Linked DNA regions of Tamandua tetradactyla. The main gene of each other region encodes a partner of the protein of the gene in region 3 in a complex. Links are inferred from orthologs where the notes say so. Each region holds a gene or a part of one and is shown on either strand. Other genes may lie near its edges. The genes, in order: SNRNP40, EIF4A3, CWC22 and CWC27.

What was found.
Region 1: CWC22 (region 3) and SNRNP40 share a complex: the UniProt entries of both Homo sapiens proteins name them as parts of the minor spliceosome. The link is inferred for Tamandua tetradactyla from reciprocal best matches to the Homo sapiens genes CWC22 and SNRNP40.
Region 2: the proteins of CWC22 (region 3) and EIF4A3 are in contact, whole or in part, in a crystal structure (PDB 4C9B), measured with the Homo sapiens proteins. The link is inferred for Tamandua tetradactyla from reciprocal best matches to the Homo sapiens genes CWC22 and EIF4A3. Residues at the interface, in NP_001362958.1 of Homo sapiens: Thr129, Gly130, Gly131, Ala132, Tyr133, Pro135, Pro136, Ala137, Lys138, Arg140, Lys164, Asn167, Gly168, Ile170, Asn171, Lys172, Val173, Asn174, Ser176, Asn177, Ile180, Ile181, Glu184, Ala207, Ser208, Ile210, Phe211, Tyr215, Lys330, Arg331; in NP_055555.1 of Homo sapiens: Met43, Gly44, Ile72, Ile73, Lys74, Gly75, Gln98, Cys99, Met183, Gln213, Val256, Ala257, Glu259, Trp263, Asp266, Thr267, Asp270, Leu271, Tyr272, Asp273, Thr274, Leu275, Thr276, Ile277, Thr278, Gln279, Ala300, Asn301, Phe302, Thr303.
Region 4: the proteins of CWC22 (region 3) and CWC27 are in contact, whole or in part, in a crystal structure (PDB 6YVH), measured with the Homo sapiens proteins. The link is inferred for Tamandua tetradactyla from reciprocal best matches to the Homo sapiens genes CWC22 and CWC27. Residues at the interface, in NP_001362958.1 of Homo sapiens: Leu239, Arg242, Lys243, Tyr245, Arg246, Asn248, Asp249, Lys250, His270, Glu271, Val272, Leu275, Glu276, Thr279, Leu280, Leu281, Glu283, Arg284, Thr286, Asp288, Ser289, Val292, Val307, Ser308, Pro309, Arg310, Gly311, Thr367, Met369, Leu372; in NP_005860.2 of Homo sapiens: Arg381, Glu382, Asp383, Gln384, Thr385, Leu386, Leu388, Leu389, Phe392, Lys393, Lys395, Leu396, Thr397, Ile400, Glu412, Asp415, Asp416, Glu417, Gly418, Trp419, Met420, Ser421, His422, Val423, Leu424, Gln425, Phe426.

The regions. Positions count from the first base shown.
Region 1 is NC_135328.1:194,558,558-194,566,501, forward strand, and holds the start of SNRNP40 (U5 small nuclear ribonucleoprotein 40 kDa protein), read left to right. Parts: upstream 1-4,569; 5' UTR 4,570-4,632; coding exon 4,633-4,776; intron 4,777-6,989; coding exon 6,990-7,119; intron 7,120-7,944. UniProt on the Homo sapiens protein: Required for pre-mRNA splicing as component of the activated spliceosome. Component of the U5 small nuclear ribonucleoprotein (snRNP) complex and the U4/U6-U5 tri-snRNP complex, building blocks of the spliceosome.
Region 2 is NC_135332.1:72,433,215-72,441,008, reverse strand, and holds the start of EIF4A3 (eukaryotic initiation factor 4A-III), read left to right. Parts: upstream 1-4,634; 5' UTR 4,635-4,726; coding exon 4,727-4,895; intron 4,896-7,794. UniProt on the Homo sapiens protein: ATP-dependent RNA helicase. Involved in pre-mRNA splicing as component of the spliceosome. Core component of the splicing-dependent multiprotein exon junction complex (EJC) deposited at splice junctions on mRNAs.
Region 3 is NC_135329.1:152,614,456-152,622,210, forward strand, and holds the start of CWC22 (pre-mRNA-splicing factor CWC22 homolog), read right to left. Parts: upstream 3,185-7,755; 5' UTR 2,465-3,184; intron 1-2,464. UniProt on the Homo sapiens protein: Required for pre-mRNA splicing as component of the spliceosome. As a component of the minor spliceosome, involved in the splicing of U12-type introns in pre-mRNAs. Promotes exon-junction complex (EJC) assembly.
Region 4 is NC_135335.1:112,328,592-112,336,918, reverse strand, and holds the start of CWC27 (spliceosome-associated protein CWC27 homolog), read right to left. Parts: upstream 3,124-8,327; 5' UTR 2,684-3,123; coding exon 2,642-2,683; intron 1-2,641. Other genes in the region: protein SREK1IP1, read left to right, coding at 3,278-3,290. UniProt on the Homo sapiens protein: As part of the spliceosome, plays a role in pre-mRNA splicing. Probable inactive PPIase with no peptidyl-prolyl cis-trans isomerase activity. As a component of the minor spliceosome, involved in the splicing of U12-type introns in pre-mRNAs.

The DNA.
Region 1 (7,944 bases), on a different chromosome or scaffold from region 3:
GCAGCACAATTTTTTTTAAAAAGTAGTAACAAAGAAAAAAATATCAGACCATGTCTAAATTTTGTAAAGACAGCTCTAAGACTAACTTCAAGATCAGAGGAATCACTGAAGAGTCACGAGCAGGACATCATTCATGAGGGAGGCTAAGATGAGGAGGGTCTGGATTAATTTATTCAAACATGAAATCGAGGATCATTTCTTATATGATTTTGTATTCCCAGTGCCAAATACAGTAGGTACTCAAAGTTTTCTCGAATGAATAAATAGAGCCTTACTATGTGCCCAGCAGAGGTGGAGAAAGGAGGAAAGCATTCTAATATCTAAAGGATGTAGAGTAGAAAGAACTGGAGTCTGGAAAGGTATAGTTTCAGACAAAAGAACCCACTCCAGCTAGGTTAGGCAAAAAGGAATTTATATCTAGGTATTACATGACTTACAAAATTAATGGAAGGGCTATAGGAGCAGGCCCTGGCAGAACTTCCCAACTCCTAAGCCACAAAATAATATCATGTTTGCCATGATCAAAAAGGTATGGCCATCACTGCAGAAAGTCACCAAAGCAGGTGGCTGTTGACTGGAAAACTCATTGCCTCTGCTATATTTTTCAGCAAAACCTGATGCCTCTAAACGAAATCACAAAGAAAGACAGATGATAAAGATTGAGATGGTATAATCTAGGAACGCCTAGAGTGTATAATGATAATGACTAAATGTACAAATTTTAAAAATGTTTTTGCATGAGGAAGAACAAAGGAATGTCATTACTGCAGGGTGCTGAAAACAGATGGTAATTAATATTTTTAAATTTCAACTTATGTGTGAGACTAAAGCAAAAAATGTTTATTTGGTACAAAATTTATATTTTGACTAGTGCATTTCCTAATACAACATATGTAGATAGTTGGTTGAACATAAGTACGTGAAACCTTGGGTAGGACATGAGATTTTGCTGGTTTGTCCAGAGTGATGCCCCAATGAATCCCAGAGTGATTTGATCAGTGAATGGAAAAGTATTTGCAAAGTCCCCTTCCGGGAATGGTGAGAACGGGAGAAAATTCAACCTCCCCCAATTGAATTCTTGATATTCTCATAAGCAGTGTGAACAACCAAAGCTATAGGCTGAGCCCCCAGTCTTGGGGCTTGTTCATATGAAACTTAACCCCACAAAGGATAGGTCAAGCCTACTTAAAATTAGGCCTGAGTCACCCCCAAGAGAACCTCTTTTGTTGTTCAAATGTGGCCTCTCTCCAGCCAACACAACAAGCAAACTCACCACCCTCCCCCTGTCTACGTGGGACATGACTCCCAGGGGTGTGGACCTTCCTGGCAACATGGGTCAGAAAACCTAGAATGAGCTGAGACCCAGCATTAAGGGATTGAGAAAATCTCTGGACCAAAAGGGGAAGAGTGAAATGAGACAAAGTGTCAATGGCTGAGAGATTCCAAACACAGTGGAGGGGTTATCCTGGAGGTTATTCTTATGCATTAAGTAGATATCACCTTGTTATTCAAGATGTAGTGGAGAGGCTGGAGGGAATGGCCTGAAAATGTAGAGCTGTGTTCCAGTAGCCATGTTTCTTGATGATGATTGTATAATGATATAGCTTTCCCAATGTGACTGTGATCGTGAAAACCTTGTGTCTGATGCTCCTTTTATCTACCTTGTCGACAGACAAGTAGAACATATGGAATAAAAATAAATAGGGGGAACAAATGTTAAAATAAATTCAGTTTGAAATACTAGTGATCAATGAAAGGGAGGGGTATGGGGTATGGTATGCATAATTTCTTTTTGTTTTCATTTTCTTTTTTTGTTGTCTTTTTATTTCTTTTTCTGAACTGATGCAAATGTTCTAAGAAATGATCATGATGATGAATATACAACTATGTGATGATATTGTGAATTACTGATTAAATATGTAGAATGGAATGAGCATATGTTAAGAAGGTTTGAGTTTCTTTCTTATAATTTTTTTTTAATTAAAAAAAAAAAACCTGATGCCTCACATTCAGCTTCTCTCCACAATTAATCCAGTTCCAAATTCAATTCTTAGGAAAGAATTGGAATAGTTTTTCGCTTTCTAGCCTCTTCCGTAAGAGAAGGCACACTAGAAGCAGGAACGTGTTTTGAGCCAGCCAAATCCACAATATTTGCCAAACTTGTACTAAACAGCCTAGTGTTGCTGGGGGAAAAAAAAGTATAATCTCCAATCTCCAATGGGTCCTTAACTCTGCCTGGTAATCCTACATTTCTCTAGTAAACACATTCTCCCACACTCTACAATGACTTTCAAATCTTCTTCAATCTACTCAAACCTCTAACCTACTCTCACTCTAAGCATAAAATTCCACCTCTCACTTTACAAAGAAAATAAAAGCCATGAGAAAACAATTCATCTTACCAGTACCAAACATACAATCTCTATCTATACCTTCATTTCCTCCTTCCCTTCTGTTAAATGGATAATGAATCCATCTTCCTAAGGCTGCTTTCTCCACCTATACTTTGGATCCCATCCCCTCCCACCTTCTCAGAAATTTTACGCTATTGGTGACCCAATTTCTCTCTTGAATATTCAACTCTGTCCTCTCAATTGGATCCTTGGTAACTCCTCATCCCCTTTAGCTACCACATCCTCTCTAAAATAATGTCTAGATTGATTGCCTGGATCCTTGTCTCATATCTGGCTTCCATCACAAAATAACTCTTGCCAAGGTTACCAAGAACTTCATAATAAAGACAACAGACTTTTTTTGATCCTCATGCTATTTAAATTCTGACACAGATCATTCCCTTACTTCTAAAAGAATATTCCTCTCGTTCTCTTGTAGGTTCATCCTCCTGTTCTTGGCCACTAAATGTTGGAACTTCCCAAGGCTCTGACCCATGTGATCTTACCCACACATACTACTTAATTATCACCTAGATTACTCCCAAATCTACTATGTTCAACACAAGCATGGCTTCTGCGCTCCAAAGTTCAACTGCCTCCTAGATGTCACAAATGAATCCCTCCATAAAAAACCCAAGGAACAAAACTAACAAACTAGTTTCTAGTCATTTTCTAGCGTTCCATTGAACACTACAAGATATTCTAATGCCTCACTGAATGGTACTGCTACGTATTCAGCTGCATGAGAAACCTAGGGCTTATCTTTGCTTCCTCTCTCTTAAGTTTCAGGAATCCAACCCATCACCAGTCCTAACCATTTTACCTCCTATATATCTCTAGAATCTGTTCAATTCTCCACAGGTCCACCAAGATATGTCAGTCCTCATTGCCAATTATCTCTCACCAGGACCACTGCAGAACCTAAGTCGTCTATCTGAATTCACTACGGCTCACCTTCAATCTGTTCACACCACTGAGACAAAGGGGTCAAGCCACCGCCCCTTCCACACATACAGCCCCCCCCACCCACCCAAAAAACCAACCCTCAGTGATTCCCATCTCATCTTAAGATAAAAGCTACAGATCTCTGCAGGGCCTAACCTTCTAACCGCCTCCAATTTCATCTTGTACCACTCTCCCCTCGTTATCTTTGAAGCAGTCACACTGGCCTCTTTGTGCCTTTTGTCAGTCACCCATGTAATGCTGTGGCTTCCTCTCTTCACCTAATTATTTGGAATTCAGCTCAGGCATCTCTTTCTCAGAAAAGGCTTCCTGCATATTTAAGCACTCAAAGCGTCAGATAGCTGTCCGAGGTAGCACTTATTTTACATTAACTAAAGAGATGTTAGATTGTTTAACATCTGTTTTCTCCACCAGACTCAATCTCCCTGACGTCAGGGACTATTTGATTCACAACGTCTCCCAAACGCACAATAAATATTAGTTGAATGATTGAGAAGAGGACCTAGTTCACAGATGTGAGTCTCAAGCTTCTCAATATAACTGCGCTCTCGAGAAGCAGAAGGCGGATATTTTCTTCATCTGTCTCTCTCAGCGGCATAGGGGAGACTCTAATGAAAGACTGTACAGTCAGTTGCAGAAACAAGCCTCACCTCCTCAGACAGGGAGTCTAGGAGACAGGCCTTATCTTCCTGGGAGCGCCCCACACATGACTGGACACAAGTGGGCGATTATCCAAGTCAGTCGTCGAGGTCCCTCCAACACCCCACCCGGCAGCTACAGGGTCTGGGTCCTGCCGCCAGACAGCCCAAACCTCGGCTCCCGCCAGGAAGGAGAGCCCATGCTACTACTTACCAGGGATAGAAATCAGGACCCTCAACTGAGAAGGGCCATGCTCAAACCCCACAACCAAAACGCTGCCTCCAGACTCGGGTAGCCACCCCCTAGCTTCCTTATACTTACTCGGCGTCAAGTAGAAGACAGCCAGCCACGCCATTGCGCGAAAAGCCGAACCCAGTCGGCGCGTTTATACCCACAAGACACAGCGCGCGTAGGCGGGACTCCAGGTTCATCCGCCAACCCTGAAGTCGGGCATTCGTGATGTTAGGAAGAGCTGCCCAATAACAAGAGACTATCCCGAAAGCGACGCAGCCTATTGGGAGATGATTGGGTTCTCCAAGCCGGAAGTTCTAAAGGAAAGGCTAAGTTCGAGCCAATCGCGCTGTGTGGAAGCGTGCCGCCTCGGTCCCTACTGGCACTGAGAGGAGCGGCTGCCGCCATGATAGAACAGCAGAAGCGCAAGGGCCCTGAGTTACCACTTGTCCCAGTCAAGCGGCAGCGGCATGAGTTGCTTTTGGGAGCGGCGGGGTCGGGCCCCGGAACCGGGCAGCAGCAGACGACGCCAGGAGCTTTGCTGCAAGCGGTAAGAAAAGGAACAGGTGGCCTTCGCTGCTCGGCTTCTCTTGCTCTCTCCTCAGAGCGCCACACCGAGTGATGCCGCATTGCGGGAGAGGAACGAGAATATTGACCTGGAGTTAAACTCTTTAAAAGCGCCCTATACCCTACAGATGCTCGATACGTGTTCCCGCGTTTGATGCCCTTTTTCAGCATCTCGACCGCCCTGGAGGTGGCAGTAGAATTGGAATGAAGAGCCATAGGCTCATAGCTGGCCTCAGGGCCGCGGCTTAGGCTTCCAAAGTTTTCCAGGGATCCGGGATAGAATAAACATTTGGTAGAAATTTGTAGAGTGAATAAATGCGTGAGTGAGTGAAGGGAGAATGCGATGAAATGAATGTTATTGGCTCCCTTAGGGACCGGGCAAGTTGGTTTCCCTCTTTCAGCTTCCCTTTATTTCTCTGTACTAATATTATGAACTGGATAGTACAGTTAGTATTCATGGAGCCCTTGTGCTGAGTGCCTTGTGTATGTGATATCCATTCATCTTGGTAACAGCCTAGGAGTTAGGAACTATTATCCCATTTTGCAAATGGAACAACAAACTCTTATCAAATAAAGTGATGGAAATAGATCTTGAACCCAGGCAGTCTGACTCCACAATCCATGCTCTTAACTGCTCTTGTAACGTGAAGAAGTAGTGGCCACTTCTCCTCTGCTGCTGTGAGAATCAGATGAAAGAATATATGTACTCTCTTTTTTTTTTTTTTCAAACCCTCAACCAACCCATCAGCGAATCCTGCCAGAATTGCTATTTCTATCATCTCTATTGCTTCCTCTTGGTCTAAGCTATTATTTGTCTCATCTGAGATTTTGCAGTATGGTCCTAATCAGTCTTGACTGTTTCAGCTCCTGCTTTCTACAATCTGTTCTCAGTCCAGCTTTCCATTTCACTCAGAGTAAAAACCAAAAACTTCACAATCTTTTGCCCACTTTTCCCTCTACCTCTCTGATACATCAATCTTCTTTCCTTGCTCTGGTCTCTATGCTCCTGCCTCAGTGCCTTTGCATTTGCTCATCCCTTTGTCAGCATGTTCTTCTAAATGCTTGCATGGTTTACACTCTCAGCTCTTCAGTTTTGTGTAAATATCACTTTTTCCGTGAGTTCTTTCCCGACCACAGTATTTTAAATTGCAATATCCCATACTCTCTATCCCACATTCCTCCTGTTTTTCCCTATTGTACATACCATTGTATGTAATATATATATATTTTAAACTTTTCTCTTTCCCATTCCACCAGAATGTAAACTCTATTGATTTTATTCACAGATGTTTTTGCAGTTCCTGGGCACATATTTTTTTTAATGAATAAATAAGCTGGAAACCACTGAAGAGATGTGGAGATTATTGTTAGTGTGCCTGTTCTTCCTACCAACAAATTAGAGCATCAGCCCAGGTTTAGAAAGTGAATTGCTCAAGCCTAGGCTTTGTGTCCAGGGCCATAATCAAATCCTACTTTCTGCAGGAGTCCCTACCCTGCAGGGTTGTTGTTAAGCTCAGTTCTGTCGTTCACTCATTAAATGCACCAGACATTGGGAAAAGATTGTTGAATGACACAGGCAAAGTCCCTGCAGTCATGGAGCTACTGTTCTAGTGTGAGAAGCAGACGAAATATATAAACAAATATATGAGAAAGGTAATTTCAGATGGTGATTAAGGAATATGGATGTGTGTGTGTGTGTGTGTGTGTGTGTGTGTGTGTGTGTGTGTATGGAATATATATATAAGGAATCACCTTATATTAATATATAAAGTGGTATGTACTGTATGAAGTACAGTAGGTGATTGGAATACAGGTGGGGAAGAGTCAGGGGAAACTACAAATGCAAAGATCCTGCAACAGAAATAAGTTTAATGTTTGAATAATAGAAATGTTGGCTATGGGACAGCAGCAGAGGGAGGGAGAGAAAGAATTAATGTAGCAGGTGATCATTGGAATGTTCAACAGAAGAGTATCGTATTGAGACATGACAAACCATGAACCAAGTATAAAAAAGTTTTTTGCAGCAAAAAAAAAAAAAAAGAGGCATGCATGATGTGAAAAGAGCTGAAATCCATTCCATCCATCGTTTTCTCTTCTCCCTCTCTCTCTCTTCCTACTCCCCGCCACCACCCTCAAATTTTTCAGCCTCCTTTGCTTATATACAGTGAGTACTCTGTGTTTCTGTCTTTTGTTTAGGGGCCTCCAAGGTGTTCCTCTCTTCAAGCCCCAATCATGCTGCTCTCCGGACATGAAGGGGAAGTGTATTGTTGCAAGTTTCACCCCAATGGATCCACTTTAGCATCTGCAGGATTTGATCGACTGATATGTAAGACAGTTTTTGAATCTGATGTAATTGCACTCTACCATGTAGTGATTATTTTTTATCTGTGATCAGTGTAGATTGATTATCTCTGAAAATGAGGAAACATGACAAACTACATTGCTAACAAACTAAAGTGAGGTTGTGAGAATTCTAAATGATCTTGGGTATAGAACTTGGGGTATGTGTGGTAAATACAGAAGAGATTATATTACTAATTGGAAAGTAAGTTCTGGTTTGGGAATACCTTCCTCATATAGGCAAGTGTTGAGCTGATTTAGCAAGACGAGATCTCCAACTTTTTGTAATGAGGACAGAGAAAAGTTCTTTTCCCAAAGTTGTGAGGCCCTCCTGGGGATCCATACTCACAGTCCTAGCAAATAGGAAGGAAAGGGGATTCTAGAATAGCAACTGCCTTAGATATTATTAAGATCTATTGCCAGATTCTTAACTACCAGTCAGGAATACCCATTTTGGAAGAATAAGTAGAAATAAATCACTTTGAGGGGTCATGTGAAAAGCATAGAGAAGATAATCGAGCATTTTTTTCTTCTCTGTATTTACCCCATTATGAAATGAAATTAGTCCCTTGGCTCTTTTAGTAACTATGCATCAGGGTGGATGTTATCTGTTTTCACTGCCCATTTTGATTTAGATACTCCAGTTCTGTCATCTTTAAACTTATTGATGGCCAAGCAACTGGAAGGCATGAGATTCTGTGCACAGCATCCTTAAATTTTTTATTTAATTTCATTAAAAAAAAAATTTGTAGGGCGGGCCACAGTGGCTCAGTGGGCAGAGTTCTTACCTGCCATGCCAGAAACCCGAGTT
Region 2 (7,794 bases), on a different chromosome or scaffold from region 3:
GGACAGCACTTGGTGAGGCGCCCCACCCCAGCAGGAAGGACCGAGAAAGGACAGCGCCGGGAAAGGAGGAGTGTTTACTCTTTAGTATCTGGAAATGGGTGTGGACTTCTGACAGGAAGCCCTGCTTTGGGGACAGTCCCTTGGATGGAGGTCACTTCTGTCCAGGGCATGGACTTGTATGGAGGTGATTCATGAGAAACCCAGCCCAGCAGAGCAGCTCTGCTCCCACTCCTGGACAGGATGACCCTCCAGAACCTTCTCCCGGAGCCAACACAGATCAGGAAAGGGATGGGCCGGCTTTTGAGGCAGCCACGTGGTGAGCTGGCCAACCTCCCTGGGTCCCGTGTACCTCCCCGCTTCTTGCCCTGGACATCAAGTGAGCAGTCAACAAGCCAACAGGTATTGACTAAACATCTACTGTGTGCTGGGGAAACACGGAGAACAGACAGACAAGGTCCCTGCCCTTCTGGAGACTACCGTTTAATCAGGAGAGGAAGCCCCCTGCCCCCCGAAAATCCTAAACTCTGTAGAAACTGAGTCACCAGAGCCAGAGTGGGTGCTGAGAGGGTGCACGATGGGTACCCCCGCCCCCCCCGCTGGCGTTGAGGCACCCAGTGGGGCTGGCCTGATGGGTCCAGCGTGGAAACCCGGCACGTCCACTCTGCAGGGCACTCTGCTCCTCCCTGTAGGTCACTTTAGCTTTTCTAGCTGGCCATTCACTCTTCCACTAGTCAAGTGGTTAACATATCACATTGCCTGCACTCTCTACTTGGATTGCTAATTGAGGTTTCTGATAAGACTCCAAACATGAGTCTGGGAATGTAAGCAGAGGGATTAGATAGCAGGGGGTTGTCAATTCTTGCTTCTTAAGTAGATGCTGATGTGCCAAGGCTGCCTCAGAGCAAGTGTTTTAACACATACTGTGAGCAACTGAGGCATGCTCTCTCGTGTGACCAATGAAGGGATAATCGCCTACTAGTGATGAGTGCTTGGAAATTGTCTGGATGCCACAAGGACTTTGGTGGGCAATGCCCAGGTTTTGTGAAAATGGGCATCGAGGTTTTTTGTTTTGTTTTGTTTTTGTTTTTTGCATGGGCAGGCACTAGGAATTGAACCCAAGAACTCTGCCTGCTGAGCCACCGTGGCCTGCCCTGTGCATCGAGTTTTAATAGAAAAATTGTTCTCCTGAGAATTCTTGTTCTCCTTGCAATTACCCAGAACACTTCGTCCTGCATCATGACAAAAATATGGGTCTTTTGTGATCTACTGCATGAACCTCCAGCTCTGAGCTCCCTAAAGAGTGGACGTACAGGGTTTATCACACCTGGGCCGCCCTCCCAGTCATGCTGGGCACCTCCCATCATGCTCTATCCCAGCACCTGCTCTGTCTCCAGTGCCTCAGTTACCACCAAGTTTACAATTTTCAGGGGGCAGGAGGCTACCTCACCTGATGAGACTGTAGTTTCCAGGAGGGCAGGAACCATATCTGTTTGGTTCTCCAGGTTTCCTAGAGAGCATGGTTCACCTAGAGATAGCATCGGCCCCCTTCCCCTGAGCTCTTCTCATTTTCATGGACTCTAGGTTAAACCATTATTAGCCCCAGTTACAGGTTGAATGCACTCCCCAAAAGATATTTCAGAGTTCTAACCCTAGATACTTGTGCATTACTTGAAAACAGGGTTGCAGCAGACAGAATTAGTTAAATTAAGATGGGGCCATATTGCAGCAGGATGGGCCCTTAATCCAATATGCTGGATATCCTTATAGGAAGGGGAGAGGAGGGACAGACACCCATTAGAGAGAAGATAGCCATGTATAGATGGAGGCGGTGAAAGTACTGATGCAGCTACAAGCCAAGTCACAGTAAGCACTGCAGGGAGCTGTCAAAAGCTGGAAGGGCTGAAGGAGAACACTCCTCAGGGGTTTTAGGGGGAGTGTGGCCCTTCCAACCCAGTGATCGCAGACCTCTGATCCCCACAACTGCAAGAGAATAAGTTCTGTTGCTTTGAGCCCCCCAGTTGGTGGTACTTTGCTATGGCAGCCCCAGGAAATGTAGAGAGCCCCAAACAAAAGGAAGAGAACTTAAGACGAACACTCAGACACAACAAAAAGGACATTGTTAGGAAAATGGCATAAAACGTTTAGAACACCTTGCCATGAAAACATGAAGGCAAAAGACAAGTCTAAGTGAAGACAAAAAACAAGTCTAGGGGCAGCCTGACTAAGATTAAAAAAAAAAAATTCAGAACGAGTAGAAGACTGGAATAATTTCATTCCCTCCTTATTGATACTGGAATTTTTCAAATCACTAAATTTCTATTCTTTCCCCTTATGCCTGGCAAGGTTCTTTTATATGCTACCGGGTACCCTAGAGCAGCACTATCCAATAGGAATTTAATATGTAGTTTTAAATTTTCTAATAGCCATATCTCAAAAAGCAAAAAAATGAGAGGCATTAATTTAAATAGCATATTTTATGTAACCCAAGATACCCAAAATATTATTGCAACAGTAACCAATATAAAGTTATTAAAGAGAAATTTAACACTATTTCCTTACACAACACAGCCCTAGAGCGCCAGAGTCCTGCTTGCAAAACTGAGATTGTACACCTCAGAGAAGGTATGGAATAATTCTTCATGGGGTGAGAAGAAAACATAAGAACTTGCTTTCGGACTTCATTTATCTCGAAACATAAGAAAGAATTTCAGCCTTACAAATATTTGGTATTTAGATTGCTCTGACACCCTTCTAGGCCCATGGAAGGTCAGTCATCTCAGGATGGACAGACCTGAGTCCAGGGCAAGGCCTTCAGGTGAGAGAAGCCCCACCCTCCCATTCTGGGTCAACATATTTCAAGCCACTGAGAATCCCATGTACCTGGTTCAGAGGATAAAACTATTGCCTGATTTTAGATTAGCCTCCACAAAAGCAGTGCTTTAAACACTCCAGCCAAGAGGCCATGGATTAAAGGAACACCCTGTGACTGAAGCCAGGGGAACAAGGCGAAAGGACAGAGCCGACACTCGCTGGAAGTTTAACTTGCAAATAGTTAAAACACAACTCTCATACAACACGGAACTGGACAGGTGTCAAAAAGCAGTAACTCTAACCCATTAAAGAGGGACTCAGTGAGATGGTAAATCTGGCTCAATCATCACTGAGAAACTGGGTTTCTGAAGGCATTTTTGAAAAGTTTAGAATAAGCTGGCTAGGTTAAATGCACAACTCTACTCTGATACAAGATGTATTTTATTTATTTATTTATTTATTTATTTTCTGGTCAGCATAAATGCGTATTTTACATCTTCTCAGAACACAACTTGAACATTTTGAAATATTTCTACAAGTTTTAATTTTCCCTCTATCATCTTAGAATTATTCTATTTCTCTGCTTCTGTTAAGATTAACAAGGATCTGAATTTTATTTTCATTTTCTTTCAGCATTTCAGAATTTGGTCTTCTGTGGTCTAAACTCCACTGCTAATTTTCTACAAAATACTTGGAGGATTTTTAATTCCTTTACAATAACTAACATACATCTTAATATATGGTATGTAATATACATTTGATACATAGTATATTTATCATTTTCACAGCCACATAATACTCCATTGGGTTGAAAATACATAATTTAATTAAAAGTTCCTTTACATTTCGCATTTAAGTTATTTGCTGGGTTTTGCTGTTAGGAACACCTTGTTCCTAACATACTTGTGTCTCCTTTTGAATTGTTTCTTTGGTCAAGAGATACGAATATATATATTTTTTTAATTTATATTTTATTTATTTTTAAGGGATACAGAAATATTTGCATTTTAGTTCGGGATACGTGTATTTTAAATGACCTCATCTTTTCCCCAGGGGAGAAATTATTAGCGCCTCCTCCAGACAAAATCTAGGCGTTAATGCACGATCCCACGTGTAAGCCCTGACATTACAGCAAACTGCAAAAATGAAACAAAAGTACTAACGACGCGATCCTTTACGGAAGGATGCTCACGTCCAAGCCTGGACACTTCTCACCGCGCGGCGCTCCGGGGCAACTTCGTATTGCCCACGTGGGACCTTAAAAAGGGGCAGTCCCGTCAGAGCGGACAAACAGCTAGAAATTCAAAACTTTCCCCAAACAGGTCCCTTGAATATGGTTTCTAGCCGGTTTTAATAAAAACGAATTTCACACGGGGCTCATAAAGAGATGCCGATGATAACATCAGCCTAAAACGCATAACCAGCAGACACTCAGATTTTAGAGATGCGCGCTCACATTTTCACTGCGACCCTCTGGGACCTCGCCCAGTTTCCACGGGCCTCCCGCCTACGCCGACTCGCGGCGGCCATTCACAGCACCCATAAGTGACACACAAGTGTGTCCCCGTGTTGTTCATCCGCTCACCCAGACATCGACGACTACAGCCCCCAAACCACCCACGCTACGCTCTCCCTCAGCCGCCCCAAGTTTCGAGAAGGGAGGCGTGGCTCCGGGCGCTACATCCCGCGGGAGCTTCAGATCTCGCGAGAACTTCATCCACCACCGCTTTCCCTGCGGCGAACGCCTCACCCCTTTCACGTGACCAAGAGCGTCCGACGCACGCTCACACGCACGGAGGCCACACGCACGCGCGCGCGATGGCGTCAGTTCCCGGCGGCAGCGGCCTGTTTCCGCTTTCCGCCTGGGACCAGCCACCGGTCCGCCGCGCGCTCGTCTCTCGGTGGCCTCGGAATCATGGCGGCCACCGCCACGATGGCTACGTCGGGCTCCGCGCGGAAGCGGCTGCTCAAAGAGGAAGACATGACCAAAGTGGAGTTCGAAACCAGCGAGGAGGTGGATGTAACCCCCACGTTCGACACCATGGGCCTGCGGGAGGATCTTCTGCGCGGCATCTACGCCTACGGTCGGTGGGGCGCGGGCTTAGGGGAGCCCCGGGGCGGCGGCATTCCGGGAGGGGCGACTGGGTGAGCAGGTCGACGTGGGGGGTCGTGGCGGAGGCTCCGAGGCTCCGGGGATCAGTGACGTGAGATTCCCCCCGCCCCGGCGCACAGCCGTCACTCCACGTCTGCATCTTTCGTCCCATATGCTCTCCCTGGTGCAGAGTGCCCTGCTAGGCTCAGCAAGGGGTGCAGAGTCTCCAGGCACCTTAAGAGTCTCCATTCATAGGAACTGTTTTATACGCATTAGGCGTTAGGCAACAGGTGCTGCTCTGGGCAACGGGGATTTAGCAGCCAGCCAGGCAGTTTCCTGCCTTTATGGGGCTTAAATACTGTTTGGGAGAAGGACGAGGTGTAACTAAGGTTGTTTCAGGCAGTGATAATTTCATTGGGGAAAATAAAGCGGGGTGAGTCAGTACTGAGAGTGACTGTGAGGTGGGTGGGGGCAGTTTTAGTTGAAATAGAGCAGATAGATAAGGGGAGTGACGCTTAAGCTGAGACTTGAATTAAGCGCCAGCCACAGAAGTCCCCGCAGAGGCAGCTGGTGCCAGCTGCCCGCACATCTTCCCAAGCACGGTGTATTCCAGGAATCTAAAGAAGCCCCTGTTATGAGCTTAGGGGCGAGTTTAGAGAGATAGGCAGGAATTGAATCTTGCAAAGCATTGTTTGGGGTGATAGAGTTTGAATTTTATTTCTAAAGAGAGTGTTCCGGGTGCTCTGTGGATTTGGAGGGAAGGTGAGGCAGGGTTGGAAACAGGGACTTAGGAGGCTTTTGCTCTAGTTTAGGTGAGAGATGATGCCTTTGCAGTGGACCGAGAGAGGAAGACAGTGGAGCTGATGTGACAGAATTTGCCAGTGATTTTGAATGCTAGTGGCAGAGGACCCCAGCCTGATTTCTGGGGGGGTTGAGTAACTGGTTGGGTGATGGTGCCATTTGCTTGACGGGGGGTGGGGGCGGGAAAATGGGGTAAGGACCTGGGAAGACAAAATTAGGAGCTCTGTCTACCTTGGACATGGAGAGCTTGAGAGGCCTGTGAGCCATGCACTTGGACATTTGGGTTGGCAGTTGTCCAGGCAAGTTTGGAGTCCAGGGAAGAAGTCAGGCCTGATGGGTGAATGATCTGTGTTTAAAGCTTGGGATAGGGTATCGTTCATCCAAACAATTTCCAAAGGTCCTTGATAGCACAAGGCATTAGAAGAGTGAGGGGAAAGCTGTCTGAGGGTTTGGAAGGTGAAAAGAAACCCTTGACCCTGATAGTGAGGCAGGCACCGTTCTCGTCATCCCAGGGCCTCCTTGTTCTAAAATACTGTTGTTGGTTCCCAACTGTGTCCTTGCACATTCCGAGGGATTTAAAGGATATTATATTTGCTTTTATGTTAAGATGGGAACTTGTACTGTATTTTGAAAAACAATTGAACTATGATTTTGTATATAAAGTTTTGTTTACTTCGAACATGGTCCTTCAAAATAACCCCTCCCTTGGTAGTTGCTGTACCAGAGGATAGCAGGTGGGTGATTACCACAGCTGCCTGGAGACCGGATTCTCTATCTCAGGACACACAGTATGATCCAAGCAGGAACTAAATGCAGTTAGAGTTAACACAAATAGCCCACACACATAATGCTGTAATCAGTGTTACAGATTTTCTTTTTTAATTTAAAAAGTAATACTCTCCTCCAAACAAACGAACAAAACAATACAGGCTTTTTAGATCCAGCCACAAAGATAGAACTAATTAAAGAAAAAATTAGGTTCTCTTCCCCCAACCCCATTTCCAGGGGTGACCACCAATGACCTTTTGGCACCCATACTTCTAGATGTTGCATACACATACTTTTTTTTTTTGATGTTTTTATTGCAATATCTTCACACACCATGCAGTCCACCCAAAGTATACAATCAGGAGCTCACAATATAATCACATAATTGTGTATTCATCACTATGATCATTTTTAGAACATTTGCATCATTCCAGAAAAAAGAAATAAAAAGAAAAACCCCATACATCCCATACCCCTTGACCCTCCCTCTCATTGACCACTAGTATTGTAGTCTACCCAATTTTTTTTACCCGTTATCCCCTTTCCCCATTATTTATTTATTTATTGTCCTTATTTTTTTCTCATCTGTCCATACCTGGGTAAGCCACAATGTTTTCACAATCACACAGTTACATTGAAAATAGGTAGTTATACAGTTGTCTTCGAAAATCAGGGCTACTGGCAAATCAGTAGGCCATGCCCTCGATCATGAGGCTTACTCTGGTGAAGCTTATGTAGGTAGCGGAGAAGCTTAGATCTTCCTATAGGCATGCCTAAGAGTTACTTCTGGAAGACCTCTGTTGTTGCTCAGATATGGCCTCAGTCTCTCTAAGCCCAATTCTGCAAGTGAAATCATTGCCCTCCCCGCTACGTGCGACATGACATCCAGGGGTGAAAGTCTCCCTGGTGACATGGGAGAGGACTCCCAGGGATGAATCCAGACCTGGCACCATGGGATCATCAATTACAACCTGACCAAAAGGGAGCAAAGAAGTATAATTAATAAAGTATCAGTGGCAGAGAGTTCAGATAGAGTCGAGAGGCTACTCTGGAGGTTGCTCTTACACAAGCTTCAGGTAGACCTTGCTACCTGTCGTAACCTGCCAGCACGCAACCAGGACCATTCCAGCCAATCCTAAAGAGCACCTAGGGCAATATATAAGATTCCACAAGGGTTCCAGGCACTAGAGTAACTTTCCGGAAACCTCCAGATGGGTCCCTGGTCCAGATAAGCCCTGAAACCTAGCTCAGCCTCTCCAGAACATCAGATAGTTCCATCTCCCTACCCCATATTAGTGGCAGACCCTTCCAATAGCAAAAAT
Region 3 (7,755 bases):
GTTCTTTGCCTAAGACATTATCCATAAAGCTTTACACATGGCAATTTTCTCTTTCTCATTCCCGGTCATCAAATCCTGTGGATTCTACCTCCTCAATTTATAGGAAAATATCTGCTCCTATTTTTCCCCAGTCTTAATGTCACTGTATACAGAAGGTTGGAAGAAGGTTCCATTTAGGGAAGATCTCATAATGGGACAGTCTTAAAGAAAATAACTTGGAGATGCTTGGCCTAAATTAAGACATTTATGAAGTAGTCCCTAGACACACAGCACTACATTCCATTATAGAGTCTCCTGTCACCACTTATCTATCCTGGTCTAGAATAAAGTTGTCCTGATAAACCAATTCAGGGAAGGACTCAAGGTAACTTTTTCACTGGTAGTGCTGAGCTTTAATTCTGGTCCATTAATGCGTTAGGCTCAAAGTCAGGTTAAATATGAGTCTACTAATAGGCTTTCCCTCCCATTAGCTAACCCATTTTTTAATTACAGATTTCTATGTCCCCAGACCAAGGCAGCCCACACCTTATGTTTGGTTATCTGTTCACTAGGAAGGACCTGTTAATATCTAGCTTGGCCACAAACAGCAAAGGCTTTCTTTAATCCATCGCTGTTTTCTTCTGATGACATGATTCATGTACTATTTTTTTTTGAAGCAAATGCTTTGAAAAGTTTGCACTTTGTTGCAGACAATGAAATGTCTATTCCAAAGTCCACTTGAGAAATATAAATATTGAGATAAAGTTTAGTAAGTCGAGAAGTTTTGTGAATGAATATGCCAGAGATCTCACTGTTCCATCATCCTCTGTATTAACCATCACACCTTCTCATGCTAGGATTCTCAGACTTAAACAGAAAAGTAGGGAAATGCAACAGGGAGCCTTCAAAGTCATCAGTAGGATCCGCTGTATTAGCAATTACATTATTATTAGCAATAAATCTTTCTTAGACTAAGTCTAGACCAGCCACAACTCACACCAAGTTAGGGATACACCAGGTAGCACAAAATTTAGTCTAAATCAAAGTGGGCAACGAACAGACATAATATTCAAGGTAAGGCATAAGTCATTATGAATACTCCATGATGCCACTGTGTCCTCTCTCAGGTGGTCTCAGGTACAAGCCATTTATTTATAGATCACTTAGCAAAGTATGATCATCTGAATGGAGAAATAATTGCTAACAATTCAGCACTCGGGAAAACTGGCAGAGGTAGGAAAGCCGTTAGGAAAGATAAGTTTGGTAGTCTGGGAAGTATCTGCACTTCAGAAGTGGTTGGAGCTGAACTAACCTAAAGGAGGTGGTGAACAGGGACACACTAATGGAGATAAACTGGGCTGGCCAAGGATCAAATACTTTTGCGCAAGGAGTGCTACAAATCTGGTTGGGGGTGGAGGGGGCGGGGTGGCAAAACATCAAAACTGCAAAATACACAGGTGATCTCTAAGGGATGTGGTTCAATTAACTGGCATGAAACTACCTGGACAGTGTGTTAAAAAACAGATTGATAGGTCTCTATTGTCTGCAGTTCCAGATTCAGCAGGACAGGAGTGATTTGTACTGCAAACAAGATTCAAGGAGATATCGATGCTGCTAGTACAGAAGATTACACTTCCAAAACAGTATTAGATCAAGATTCTTGACCTCTGATAGGAAAAAAAGTATAGGTAAGGCCGAGTCTCAGAACTCCAGCCAAATGGGTTTGAGAAAGTTTCCATAAAAAGTGGTATGGGCACTTAAAAGTGTAAGGGTAATTCAGAACCAAGGAACAAGAACTGAAACACAGCAAGAACCCATCAACTGAAGTAGTAATAACAACGTAATAATAGCTACCACTACACACCAGGCACTGTGCTTAGTGCCTCATACACATTATATTTTCTTTCATCCTTAAAACAACCCAGTGAGGCATATACTACTATAACCCACATTTTTTTAGATGAGAAAGTTGATATTAGAAATGTTAGATAACTTGCTCCAGGTGACAGATCTAAAAGACACCCAGCCAAGGCTGGAATCTGGCTTATACAACATTCAGCATCAACACAGTAGGTATCTCCTCATACATATATACCCTGCAACAAAGACATACACTTGCTGTAGTCAAACCACCCTTTTAATGCCAATTCGTAATCTGCTTTTCTGTAGTAGAATAATAATTAACGTTAACTTCTGAGTTCACCGGTCATCCCCAAACAATGAAGTCTAAATATAGATTAGGAAGGGGAAGGCTAACTGGTCTTCTGAAGACCAAGTTTGTTTATCTATCTTCTATTCCTTTTCTTTGAGTACCTAAATATGCAAAGAGAATTTTTAATGCACTTTCAATTACCAATTTTTACATATGGAATAGCCTTTCTCTGTATCTTTCCTTCTCCATTTACCTCAAAGAATTGCTGTGAGGAGTAAGTGACGGTAAAACGGTTACTGCAGTTAGATTCAGTGAAATTAACTATTAAATTACCATTATATGCAAGTGTGTTGTAGGATCCGTAGCTCTGAAGAGCGGTGAAGATTGCAGACCCAAGTTTGAGAGTTATCATCTTACTAGAGATAGTTCAAGTACTCGGAGGATGAAGGATGACAGAAGCGGACACACAACGAGGAAGTAAAGTTCCCAGCCTAAACACTGAAAAGCATCAGTATTTGCGGGGCAAGGCAAGGAAAAGGAAACTAATAAGATTTTCAGAGGCAATGACAGTGACAATGAGCTGGAATGAGGCAGAAAAGTGGAACTCCGACCACCTATAATCAGCTGTTTACTAATTCCACCCCCATGGCTCCGGAACCCGGGCTCTAGGAAAGGGGGCCTTGGGGCTCCCAATCGACTAGAGAGTCTCTAAGCGACCCGCGTCCAAATCACACCGCACAAGAAGGGCAAACCACCGATTGCAGTGGATTGCAGGAAAAAAAAAAAGGGCAGAGACACAGCCCAAAAAATCCTCACAAGGAAGCCAGGTCCGTTCGCACAAGTTGGGAGGCCGCGAACTCCCCACAGGCCCTCTCAACTAGCTCGGACTCCTCGATGCGATCTGAGCTCACACCCCCACCTCGCAGGCCGGCGCGCGGCGGGGGAAGTACGCGCGCCAGCTTACTGCCCACAAGCGAACCAGAGGCTCCGCACCCACTCTTGAGCCTTTTAACTTCCCCCCCAACCCGACGAGCTACCCATATTCCCGCTGTCTATGGCGCGTCCACCGAGTTTGATAATTACCTGGAGCTCCACCGCGCCGCCATCACACCGGATATACGTCACTTCCCTTTCCCTGGCGCCAGCAGTAAAAGGAAGGCGGAATATGATATATTTAAATGTATGCGGTTAGCTTTGATATGTTATACTATTAGTTTATTTTAAATACCATTTTGTAATACCAGTCGATCTGGCCACACTTTCCTCTTACCCGGCGACAAAAGGGAAATTGATACAAACTACAAAGTCCGGCATCCATCGCCTGTGCTGGCGGAAATGACGTAAGCCTTTTTTTTTTTTTTAAAGCTGAAGGAGCCACACACTACGACGGAAATAGATCCCTGGAACTCCCTGCAAGACAGCTCCATGGAAATTTGGTAGACATTTAGGGGTTAGCAGAATTTACTTCAAAAGTATTACTCTGCAGCTGGCAAAAAATAGTCCTTAACAATCATTTTCTGTGAAACTCTTAAGAGCAGACAATTTTTTCAAGAGTTCTCAATCTAATTTGACCAAGTGCCTATTAATCAAAGTGCCTACCAAGTGCCAATATTTCAAGCCCCAGTGAATGGAAAAATATAGGACCATAATGCGGATAAACTACTTCTGGAGAGGAGATAATGCTTCTATCTTAGGTAAGGTATACCAGCTGACAAGACTGGTATACTGAGGATAAGGAGGTTATACAGCAGAGTTGGAAAAAGCGGTCTGTCATAGATCACAGATCGGGCGTCAAACTATTTCCTTATGCTTTGCTTTTCAGTAGTAACAGAGCATACAAGTTCAGTTGCTAATTGCTGTTGGGGAACTACCCTTTCCTAAAACAACTGTGTCTTTATATTCCCTGGCTTTTTATAAACCAGGCTCGGGTTGTCTGACTACTTATATAGAGTGCTTGTGCTACCAGTACTTTCCAAGAGTCAGAAGAGTGTAGCGATTAAGAAAAAAGACGCCGGACCTAGCCTACTTATATTTGAATCATGGGTCCATTGCTTCCTGGCAGAGTGACCTTGGGCATTACTTCACACCCCATGCCACAGTTTCTTGATCTGACAAATAATAATAGAAATAGTAATCACCCCAAAGAGTAGTTTTTAGAATTGAATTAGTTAATACACATGATGCATTAAAATAATGCCTAGTATATAATAAGTGTTATCTGTTACTATTAATATTTAAGATATTTAGCCATAAGTTAAAAGTGCATTTTGGTGTCTTTAAATATTTGAGGAATAGATTTCAGTTGTAACAATAGAGGGAACAGGAGATGAATCTTGCAAACATTTATGTCCCTATCGGAAAGAAGCACCATAACACCTCTGCAATTATTGATGTAAATAAGAAAGTAGATTTGAGCCTAGGAGAGCCGAATGGAGGCAGGAGAGACTAGGTTAGTTCCTCCAAAAAGCAGAAAATAAGGTAGAGGTAGGAATGTAAAAAGTGAAAGAAAAAGAGAAGAAGCAGGATTGGGCAGGTGTTCTAGTTTGCTAACTGCCGAACTGCAATATACCAAAAACAGAATGGCCTTTAAAAAAGGAGATTTAATGTTGCTAGTTTACAGTTCTAAGGCTGAGAAAATGTCCCAATTAAAGCAAGTGGATAAAAATGTCCAAATTAAGAAATCCAGAGAAAGATACCTTGGTTCAAGAAGGCCGATGAAGTTTAGGGTTTCTCTTTCAACCTCTCAGCAACCTCTTCTAGCTACCTCCCTAGGCCTCTTGCTTCATGAAGCCCCACTAGGGGCATTCCTTTTCATCTCCAGAGGTCACTGGCTGGCAGTCTCTATAGATTTCGTGTCTTTGCTGCTCTCGTCATTCTCCAGCTTTCTCCAAAATGCTTCCTCTTTTAAAGGATTCCAGTAAAGTAATCAAGACCCACTTGGAATGGGTGGAGTCACATCTCCCTCTATTCAAAAGTTAATACCCACGTTTGGATGAGTCACATCTCCATGGAGATAACCTAATCAAGTTTCCAACCTATTGGAAACCTGCATAGGGATTAGAAGAAATCACAAGATTGATTAGGATTAAACATGGCATTTCTAGGGTACATAAATCCTTTCAAATCGGCACAGCAGATGTAGATTAAAAGGGGCATTTCAGGGCAAAGTTGAGAAGTCCCAAATTGAGACAAAATGGCTAGGCCTTTGTACCACAGAGTTGGTACAAAGTCATTGGCTGGAGCCACCCCAAGAAGAATGTACCTCAACTCAAAACCTGAGGCGCACTTGAAGGTGTTAACAAGTAAAGGCTGTCACCTAACCACATTCCTTATAGCTGGGCAGCAAGTCCTTTCTTGAAAAAGAATCTGAATAGCATATCTCTGTTTGCCAGTCTAGTCCTTGCACCATGTAGATCCACTTTTCCATACACATTGAGGAATTAGTTCTCCCGGGGTTCCAGTGGGCCTTTCTTCCTGAAATGAATGGTACAGGAGAGAGACAATGGGTCCAGTGGTACCCTCAAGACCATGCAAAGATGGGGGCTGTAGTTTTTTCTACTCTAACTTCCCTCTTCTAAGTTCCAGTATGCTAGCTGTCTCTTGTTTAACATATTCAGTTAATGTGATGTTTATATAATACATCAATATGATATTCTGCAGCATTTCCAGGTGGTCCAGATCCCTTCAGACTATGTTATTAGAGAGAGTAGGAGAGCTAATGCAGTCCTGGGGCAAAAAGTGTCAATGAATATTCTTGTTTTTTTCTTTCATGTAGACATGAACTATTTCTAATTGTCCTTCCTGGATGGGATAGAGAAAAATGAATTCTTCACATCAGTGGCTATATGCCATGCAATTGAGACCATGTTGTCCTGCTTTGGCATGGCAGCTGCAATTGGGGCTGCTACTTGATTGAACCTGCAATAGTCTGCAACCATTCTCCTAATTCATCTGGTTTCTGCAGGGGACAGACTAGTAAATTAAATGTCCCCCCAATATGATGGGCTCTGTCACTTTTGCACCCTTAAGGGTATCATTATTATTAACCATCCACCTAGAATGTTATATTGTTTTGGATTTACTCTATTGGCCAAGAGAGGCCATTTCAAATGTCTCTAATTGGCCTTCCCCAGTATGATTGCTCTTATTCCATAGGCCAATGAACGTATATGGACATTACTCTGACTGTAAAATATGTGAGTCCCAGTAATACATTCAGGGACCTAGTAAATGACCAGTGGGTTGGGCTGTGAATCGAGTGGACCCATGGTGAGTCAGACTCTAGCCATGACTTAATTTATTACTTGACCTCTACATGCCTCCACTCCAACAGGAGAGCCATGATGATGCTTTAAATCTCCAGGTATCAGTTCCAACTCTGGCCCTGTATATAGTAGTTCTTGATATGGGTAAATATGCCCCTTTCCTAGCATCAGTGCTGAATGTCACTTTTAGTCACTCAAGTAAGTAGAATTGGGTCCCTTTAGGGAAATACCAAGGGAATCATTGCAGAATATACATGACATGGTATTGTAAGAGTTTTCTCTCTCAGACCTAGCCAAGTCGTCAATCATTGGTTTGAAAACTGCCCAGGTCCAGCATCTGGATAAGAGATTGTGACTTTATTGGGGGTAACCAATAAAGCCTCCTGCTTTTCCATTCTTGCTTTCTCTTAATTATGAATATTCATCAGCATCCTTATTGGTTGTCCATATATTTTACCCTTGATTACACCATGTTCTAATAATAATCTTCACAATCCCTTCTTGGTGCTGCTCTGACACTGCTGACTATTGCAATAATTGTGATTCCCTAGTTTCTGGAAGTTAAGTCGTGCCTCAGTCTCTGTGGCTTCAGGGCATCATCACCTTCACTATTATTAATGAACCAAGTTCTGTGACAGCCTCTCCAATAGTCAGCTTGGACTTACAGAGGAGATACGGCACTGGATACTGGAAATCTTGGTGATATTAGTGCTCCTCTTACCAACTCATCCCTGATGGCCTTGGGGAATTGTGTCCTCTGGGCCTTTTTAGGGAAAATAACTTTCTGGTATGTTTTCTGGCCTCGCACCTTCTCCACAACGTCCATTTCCCTGAGTTTATTGCTTTCTTTATGGTTAACTATGGTATTTCAGGCATTCAGTTTTGCTCATTTTGGGCCATTACTTTCTTGTGGTTTCTGGGAGTCACCCTAGCAGTGAATTTGTAGTATTCCCTTAGATTTTTGCCAAATTGTTAAATCCCACATCTCAAGAGAGTGCCTCTAAGTCAATAAATTCTCCCTTATCCAGTATTGTGTTGCAGCCTGCTTCACCAGTGAAAAGTATTAGCAGTTGGACCATTGCATTGTGTTAGGGACTAATTGTGCCCATATACCACCTGGGGTGGGGACCCCTTTACCAGTTAGGCAGAAAGTGATTCTGTCTTAAAAATCCCAATTTACCGCTAGCTTTTTTTGCAATTCCTGGTACCACTCTGTCATTTGGGTCCTCTGGAAAGCATATACTGAGATGGAGACAGGAGTGCAAAAGGTTTTTTGGGAGAGTAACATCTGTGAAAGGAAAATGGAGGAAGCACTATTGTTAAGTGGGAGAGCCATCAGACTATGATGCAGACCTGACA
Region 4 (8,327 bases), on a different chromosome or scaffold from region 3:
TGATTTGATGTTCTTTGAAGAGAAGAATTTTTTTCCCATTGATTCTGGATATCTCTGTAATGCTTTCAGAAACCAATGCACCATTAAACAGCACAGGTATGAAACAAACATTTACTGAGCAGACTTGTCATTACAGGTGCTTTAAATTCCTGCAAGACCAAAATTCTTGCCACACTCTCTACAGTACACTTTAGTTGCCACACTTCCTACAGTATAGAACTTCAGGGCTTCAATCTCTTCAATAATCCTTATGTTGTTAAAGTTCCCAAATTGTTTTTGGACAAAACTTGGGCCCTGCCTGAGGTTCTCCCTCAGTCCACTACTGTCCAAAAGATTAACATTATTCACCACAGTATGCAATTACGTGTTTATTTGCATGATTATTTGGTCAACACATATGTCACCAAGGTAACTCCATGATGACAGGGACAATGCTGTTTTTTCTTTCTGTTGTATCCCTAAAACCTTGCATAGAGCCTGGTATGTGTTCGGTGCTCAAAAAATATTTGTTGATGAATAAATGGTTTTCTATTTAGGCATGTAACCTTGTTAAGCTTTTCATCTATATGACCATGCTAAGTCTTCCTCAAAAAAGCAAGTCAGCCTGCACTTAACCAGTCACAGTCTACTTAAACCCACCGACGCTTAATACTTCTCAGAAGCTAAGAGAAATAACATTCATTCATTTATGCAATACATATTTGAACTCCTACTATGCATCAAGCACTGTTCTAAGTACAGTGAACAAAGCAAAATCTCTGCTCTCAGAGAACTTGCATTCTCTGAGGGAAGGGGATGCACGATAAACAAGAAAATAAGTACTACAGAAAAATAGGTTCAGGGGGCCAGGGAATGCAGGGATGCAGGGCATGACTACTATATGCTATGTCATAGAAGGTGTCTTTGTCAGGGTTCTGTAGGGAAACAGAACCAAAAGGACGTATCTGTTGAGATATATACTATGAGATTTTTATAAAAATTGTCTTATACAACTGTGGGGATGCATAAGTCCAAATTCCAAAGGGCAGGTCACAAGCCAGGAAATCTGGGGAAGGTTTTTGATGAATTCTCTGGGGGAACCTTGGAATTCTACTCGGCTGGCTGAAGTGGAGATAGAAATTCTTCTGACTGCTGAAGTCATCACGTCATCTTTTAAAGTCTTGAACTGATTGGATGATATATCTCTCAGTGTGAAGGCCATCTCCTCAGTTGACTGTAGATGTCATCAGCCATAGATGCAATCAATTTACTGATGATTTACGTCCACAAAACGGCCTCACAGGAACCATCAGGATGGTGCTTGCTTAACCAAATAGCCGGACACCACCCTCTGGCCAAGCTGACACATGAACCAACCATCACGGAGGGCAAATAGGAAAGGCCTCTTTTTTAGGATGACATTTGAGCAGGCAGAAGAACAAACCAAGGAGAAGAGCAAGTGTGAAGCCTCTGCCTGGCAAGATGGGTAATTTATTCAATCTTCTGCCAGGTTTTATCACCTGGGGGTAATATCATCCCCAAGAAACATTTGGAAAAACGAGGGGATAGTTATTTGGGGTTTTGACAATGACATGGGGGAAAGGGAGAATGCTAATCTGGAGTGCCCAGGAGAAGGTCAAACAACAAAGAATTAATTCTGCCCATAATTCCCCTTAAAATATTTGCCAAGGATATTTCATTACAGAAACTTTTTGTACGTTTACAAATTGCTCTCATTATATTACCAAATGACCATCAATAGAAGATTGCATAAGTAATTTATGATACAGTCATGCAACAGAACTGTACTGTAGGCAAATTTCGTTTACCCTAATCAAACCACATACTTTAAGTCCCACTATTTTCTTCATAATATTTCACATATGATATAGACTAGGTCTCAGTTCAAGAATGCAAATGACACTAATCCCATCGTTAACTTCTCTGCCTCATACTGCATACAAACACCGTGGATGGGAATTGACGTACCTTGACCACCAAATCGATCAGGACCCTAACCTCCCATTCAAATATGGGAACACTCCCCATTCTCCACTTTCTCTGACTGGCAATTATCTCGTGTTTTAATTTCAGCTCCAAGAAGCTTTTCCTAACTTTTCCAGCGGCTCACTCCTCAGTACTGCCATAGAACAATGATTCTGTTTCCACAAGGATGCCTACTAGACGTATATGGAAGCTTTTTCTTTAGGGCTTGTCTTGTAAACTTAACTATGCGCTCTTCCAGGGCAGTAACTAGGCCTACCCATCTCTGCATCCCCAGCGCCTAGCACAGCACCCGTGCACAGCAAGAACTCAACAAATGATTGCAGAACGGATGCGAAAAGGAGAGCTCTCCAAGCCAAGAAAATAATATGTTAAATTTCATATTTTGCTTCTAAAACCCTAAGACCCTCGTAAACGCCTGCACGAGTTGGGTCGGGGGCAGAAGGCCCCGCGGCGAGGGCAATGGAGGAACTCTCCACCCAAGCTCTTGGTTTTCCAATCCATGCTATGAGTGTTCAGTACGGCTTTCGACGCCTCGTCCCGAGACAGGGGGACGACGACACTCCCTGTGGCCTCTTCCATCCCGAACACCTCAGAGCCCTCCTAGTGGGAGAGGGCTCGCTTCCGGGAGCCCAGAGGCCCCAGGTGAGGCGCTCACCTTCCCGTTCGTGGGAGGCTCCTGGATGTAGATGTTGCTCATCCTTGTCGGTGCTCAGGGCTCTACTTCGAAGTCCGCAAAACTCCGGTCAACGAACGCTACCGCGGAGGAGTTCACGCTCCCTGGAGGAGGCGGTCGCGGAGAGCTCCAGTAAGCCGAGGCCCTGAAAGACAGCGACGCCGCGCCCTGGGCCCGCCAACCTAGCCGCTCACGCATGCCGCCATGTTGCTCCCGGACCCGAACACCGCTAACCCCGATAAGGGGGATTCCGATATCCTCCAGGGAAGGAGAAAAGAGTCTTCAGCGTCTATAGCGTAAAGTTATTCGTATTTAAAAAGTTAAAGAACCATCTTGAGTCTTCGTGGTGTTCACTTTCGCCACACACCTGTGTCGGTCACACACACGCACCCCTCAGGAGTTGGCTGTAATGGTTCAGGCCAAATGTTCGCTGCACCGTGACTCGCCCGGAAACCACAGCGGCGACGCCTTGGTTCCGCCGTCGCCAGGGGCTTAGCGGCCCTTCCGGGCCTCTCGCGGAGCTTCGGCGGCGCTGCGGCGAGGGCGAGGCCGCTTCGGCCGGGCGTTGTCCCCGCGCCGGCGGGACGCGCGCACCCTTGACCCCCTGTTGCCAGCACCATGGCAATCCCAGGTGAGGACGGCCTGCCGGGCTCGGACGGGAGCGGGAGCGGGGAGGGGGCGGTTGGGATGGGAGAGGACGATGCCGGGCGCCTTCGGGCGGAGGCGCCGCGCCGCCGCTGGGTTGCGGGGCTCGGGGGCAGCAAGTGCCGGCTCCCAGCCCCACGCTGAGAGCGGGCGGAAGCCGTCTCCCCGCCGCGGACAGGCGTCTTCCCCGCAGAAACGCTGGGGGGGAAAGGAGGAGGAAGGGCAGCCCGTGGAGGCCCGAAGGGGTGGCAGGCCTCGGCCGTCGCTTCGGGGTGGCTTAGAGATGCCATTCGAATGGGCGCGCGTGGCGACCCCGCGGGTCCCGGGCGTGGTGGCGGGCGTGGGGTCGGGCCCTGCGGGCGCCCGGGGCTCCCCCTCCAGCGCTTCCGCTTGCCTGTGGCCGCAGACCGTTCCCTTTGCTCTTCTGGGCCTCGTTGGGTCAGAGGAGGCGCTTGGGTGAATCCTGTCGGTTTCTTCCCCGTGTCAGGTTCTGTGTGTAAAGGGTGCTCATTGCCACCCGTGAACCCTGCAGTCCGAGTGCTTCGGAGCCTTCCCCGCCCACAGCTGCTGTCTGCCTTAGACGTCCAGCGGGGGTGAGCATCTCCTGAGACTGGCCTGTGCCACAGCGTTCAGTGCAGGAGATGTATGCAGAAATACACGCCCTCTGCCCCCCGCTTGGAGGTTAACAATGCACTTGAGCATAGGATTCTGAGAAGTGCTGTGGTTCAGAAGCGTTTGTCCTGTGGCAGCCTTGTCCTGAAGTGTGTTCTGCGGACAGCTGTTACGGTACAGCTGTGCTTTTCTGCTGGCTTGCGGCTTTGAGAGGAACACATACTGAGCTGTGAGAGAGGAAAAATGCACACATTCATACACTGACAGCTTTACTGCCTGTCAGGTGTCAGGCACTGTGGTGGGCATTGGGGATAAAACGGTGTTTTAGTTTGCTAATACTGCCAGAATGCAATACACCAAAAATGGATTGGTTTTTATAAAGGGGATTTATTGAGTTACAAGTTTAGAGGTCTAAGGCCATTAAAAATTTACAAACTAAGGCATCCAAAGAAAGATACCCTGACTCAAGATAGGCCTGGAAGACCTCTGTCAGCTGGGAAAGCATATGCTTGGTGTCTGCTGGTCCTTTGGCTTCTGTTTTCAAACTGCTTCCCTGGGGCGTTTTCTTCCTGCATCTCCAGATGTCTCTGTCTGTGTCGGCTCTAAGCTTTTCCCAAAATGGCTCCCTCTTAAAAGGACCCCAGTAAGCCCAGTAAGACCTACCTTGAGTGGGCAGAGATGCATCTCCTTGGAAACAACTTAATCAAAAAGATCCCACCCAAACAATAGGTCTGCCCCCACAAGATTGAATTAGAAAGAAGAACATGGGTTTCCTGGGGTACAAAACCATTTCAGTGGTAAGCAAGAAAGACATGGACCCTTTTACACAAAACCTACAGTTTAACAGGGAGAGAAAAAATAGTACTAGAAAGTAAGACAAGTACAGAACCTTAGGGAGCATCTAGGAGTTGCACAGATGACTTTCCCAGAGGAGTCCAGAGAGTTGCTGAAGAGGGGGATGGAGGGAAACATGCAATCAAAGGGACTTTATGTAATGGACCAGTGAGAAGAAGGATGAAAGAGGTTCACTGGGCGCTATGGATGGAACTCTAAGGACAAATGGGAGAGAAGTGAGAAATGAGCTAGAAAGATAATAACAATAGCTATTATTTGCTGACCATTTACTATGTGTCAGATAGTGTTCCAGACACTGTGTCAAGTGGTTTGTTATTTTTTCTCATTTAACATTCACAACCGCACTATGAGATACATACTGTTATCCCGTTTTTACAGAGGATGAAATTGAGGGACAAAGAAGTCAAGTGATTTGCCTGTTGTGAGACAGCTGGATGGAGCTAGATCAGATTGGCTTCTTTAGACCCCATGCTCTTATCCATTTGCCATGCTATATTAACTTAAAAGGTGACTTCCAGCTCTTGAACAAATTTGTAAGCCATGACAAGGAGTTTAGACTTTATCCTAAGGGTGTTTGGAGATCATTTATGTGTTTTTAAACAGATTCATGATTTGAAGGGATCATTTTGGCTGCACAATAGAGGGGAGATAGTTTGAGGCATTCACCAGTTAGGAATAATTCTGGTGAATTGCAATGACTCCTCACTGAAGTATGGTGTCAATAGGAGTGGAGAGAAGCAGACAGATTGGAGATACGTTTTTGGAGGCAGCGTCACTAGGAAGTGTGATTTATCTAGAAATCACTGTTAGACATTTGGGCAGGGCCATTTACTGATGTAGGCAACATTGGAGAAGGAGCAGGTTTTAAGGGGGAGGATTATAACTTCAGTTTGGGGCGTGTTGATAATGGGAGTATCCAGCAGTCATTTAGTGATATAAATTTTAGGTTAGCAAAGAAGCTGAGGTAAGAGGCAATGATTTTGGTGTCATTCAGTGCCACCCAAATGTCTGTATTAAATAGGTGTTAAGGCCATGAGAGTAGAAGTCTGCTCAGGAGAAATGTGTAGAGTGTGAAAGGTAAGCCTGTGACTGAAGCCTGGGGAAGATCACTATTTAAGAGACCAGGAGAGAAAGAAAGGCTGCACAGCTGATTGCTCAGACATCTTCATAAGCCACATCAGCCCTGTTGATCCATGGGAAGACAGTTGTTAAAGATTGACACAGTTATATCTAAAGTTGGCTGATGTCACCACTGATTTCACTAGTTGAGCTGCATGCTGTTGGCACTCAGAAAGATACAATGTTACAGTCTGTGGCCACAGTTGTATCTAAAGTTGGCCTGATGTCACCATTGATTTCATGAACTGAACTACATGCTATTGGCACTCAGAAAGACACAATGTTACAGTATGTGGCCTCATAAAAATTAAGTCTAGTAATGAAAATGCACTGGTTAAGACAGGGGACAAAAGTGATTTTTTTTCAACACCCTTATTGAAATCCCTTACACTTAGACCAAGGTTATAGACCTGTTAACCTTCTTCTCAATTTAAAATAATGCTTCCAAGTGTAATAATCTTAAATTGTGCCATTAAGCTAGATGGCAAGACATAAACTGTTTAAACCCAGCAAAAATTGAGATAATGCGCGTGACAGCATTGTAAAAGTACAATGGAAGTGCCATTTGAAAATACAGGTATAGAAAAAATTAAGATAATTTCTTGCATGATCGATCCATATAGTGTATTAAAGGAAAATAGGGGTCTATCAGAAACCTTCTGAAGTGATCATTGAGAACATATATTATTTTATTTTTAGTTATAATGCTGGTATAGATTTAGCATGGTATTTCTCAGGATGCTCCGGCTAGTGATTATTACAAGCACTGACTGTCAAATAATGAGGCTACTTTTCACAAACCACACATCAAAATCGGTGTCCTTGGTTTTATGCTCACCTGATTCAGCCTATTTTTCCATAGCATTATATATAAGCTTACTCAATTTATATGTAGATAAACAAGCCATGTTGAAGTAAGCCTTGAAGCCTCTGGCCAGGGTTGAACTTTTTAGATATCTTAGATTTGGTTCAACGGATTTCAGAAACACTGGCAAGAAATATTTTTAAAGTATGTGGTGGAGGTCGGAGGGCAGGATTTCACACACAAATCTAGACTTTTGCTCACCTTTGAAAAAGTAAAGATTCTGACAATACTATACCCACATTCTGACACTGCAGTAACTGATGAGAGATGACAGGCCCCTTTTGGCTGGACTTGCCATTGTTCAGTTTGCCACAGCACGAACTCGTCTTTGACCTTCCTCACTCATTTGTGTTACCTTGGTAGTGAATTTGTATATAGTAGTTAAATCATGAGCGCTGGAACCAATCTGCCTGCACCACCATTTATATATGGTAATCTTGGGGAGGTTATATAACCTATCTGTGCCTGAATTTCACCATATGTAAAATGGAGATAACAGTCCCTGACTTTAAGATTTATTATTAGAATTAAGTGAATTAGTGCATATGAGGTGTTAAGAGCAGGCCAGGCACTTAGGTAGTGTACGTTGAACTAAGTTGCCGTCATAGCTATCTACCAGACTCCTGAAGGCATTTCAGTTTGCAGCCCCTGTTTTAAAGCAATGCTGGAATTTTTATGTTCTGAATTAGGGAAAGGGGAAAACGTTAAATTCTGCTGTTTCCACTTACAGCAGTTGTTGAAATTATTTATGGCATTCATGTCAATGATTTGCCATTTTCCACAAAGAGCCTATACCACAAAAAGACCTGGCACAATTGGCAATGTTCTACTGATGTGATTTGCACATAAAGACAATTTTTTTCTCTCCAGTGAAATCTGTGGAGTAAGAAAGTGAATGTTCTATAGCCAAATTAACATTTTAGTTTAGCATGTCAAAGTCAATCAAATTCTTACAACACATGACGATAACATCTTAGTAATATAAAAATTCTGAATTACACTAATCTAATTTCTTTTCACTCCTTTAAACTGTATTATAGGTCATTTCTTTTCTCTTATAGTCCATCTGCTTATTCCTATTGAAATAATTTTCCTAAATCATATAACTGACCCTTTCATTCCTGGGAGGCAGGAACTTAGTTCTTGACCCAAATCTGTGAAATTTTTACTTCTCTTCAAGCCACTTAACCTTTCTGAGGCGCTGTTTCCTTATTTCTAAAAATAAAAGAATTGATGACTAAAATTTCTTTCACTTGTAAAATGTTATAATGCCATGCCTCTCTGTCTCTGCGAGAATGAGGTGCACACGCCTAAGCAAGGCCAGATTGTTATTTCTGCCCATTATTCCCACCAGTCCCCTCAGGCATTGTGCGTCCTTGTCGCCGTCTCGCCTGGAGAACCATTCCCTTAGCTTCTCATGCACTTTGCTGTCTCATGCCTTTGTTACCAATGTCTCTCCTTTACTGCCCAAATCCACCTGTGGGAAGCTTCTCCTGAACTCTCAACTGGAAGTCTTCCCTGCTACTTCTTTCTGCTTTTTTAATAAAGCTGTACAACCTTTGTGACACCCGC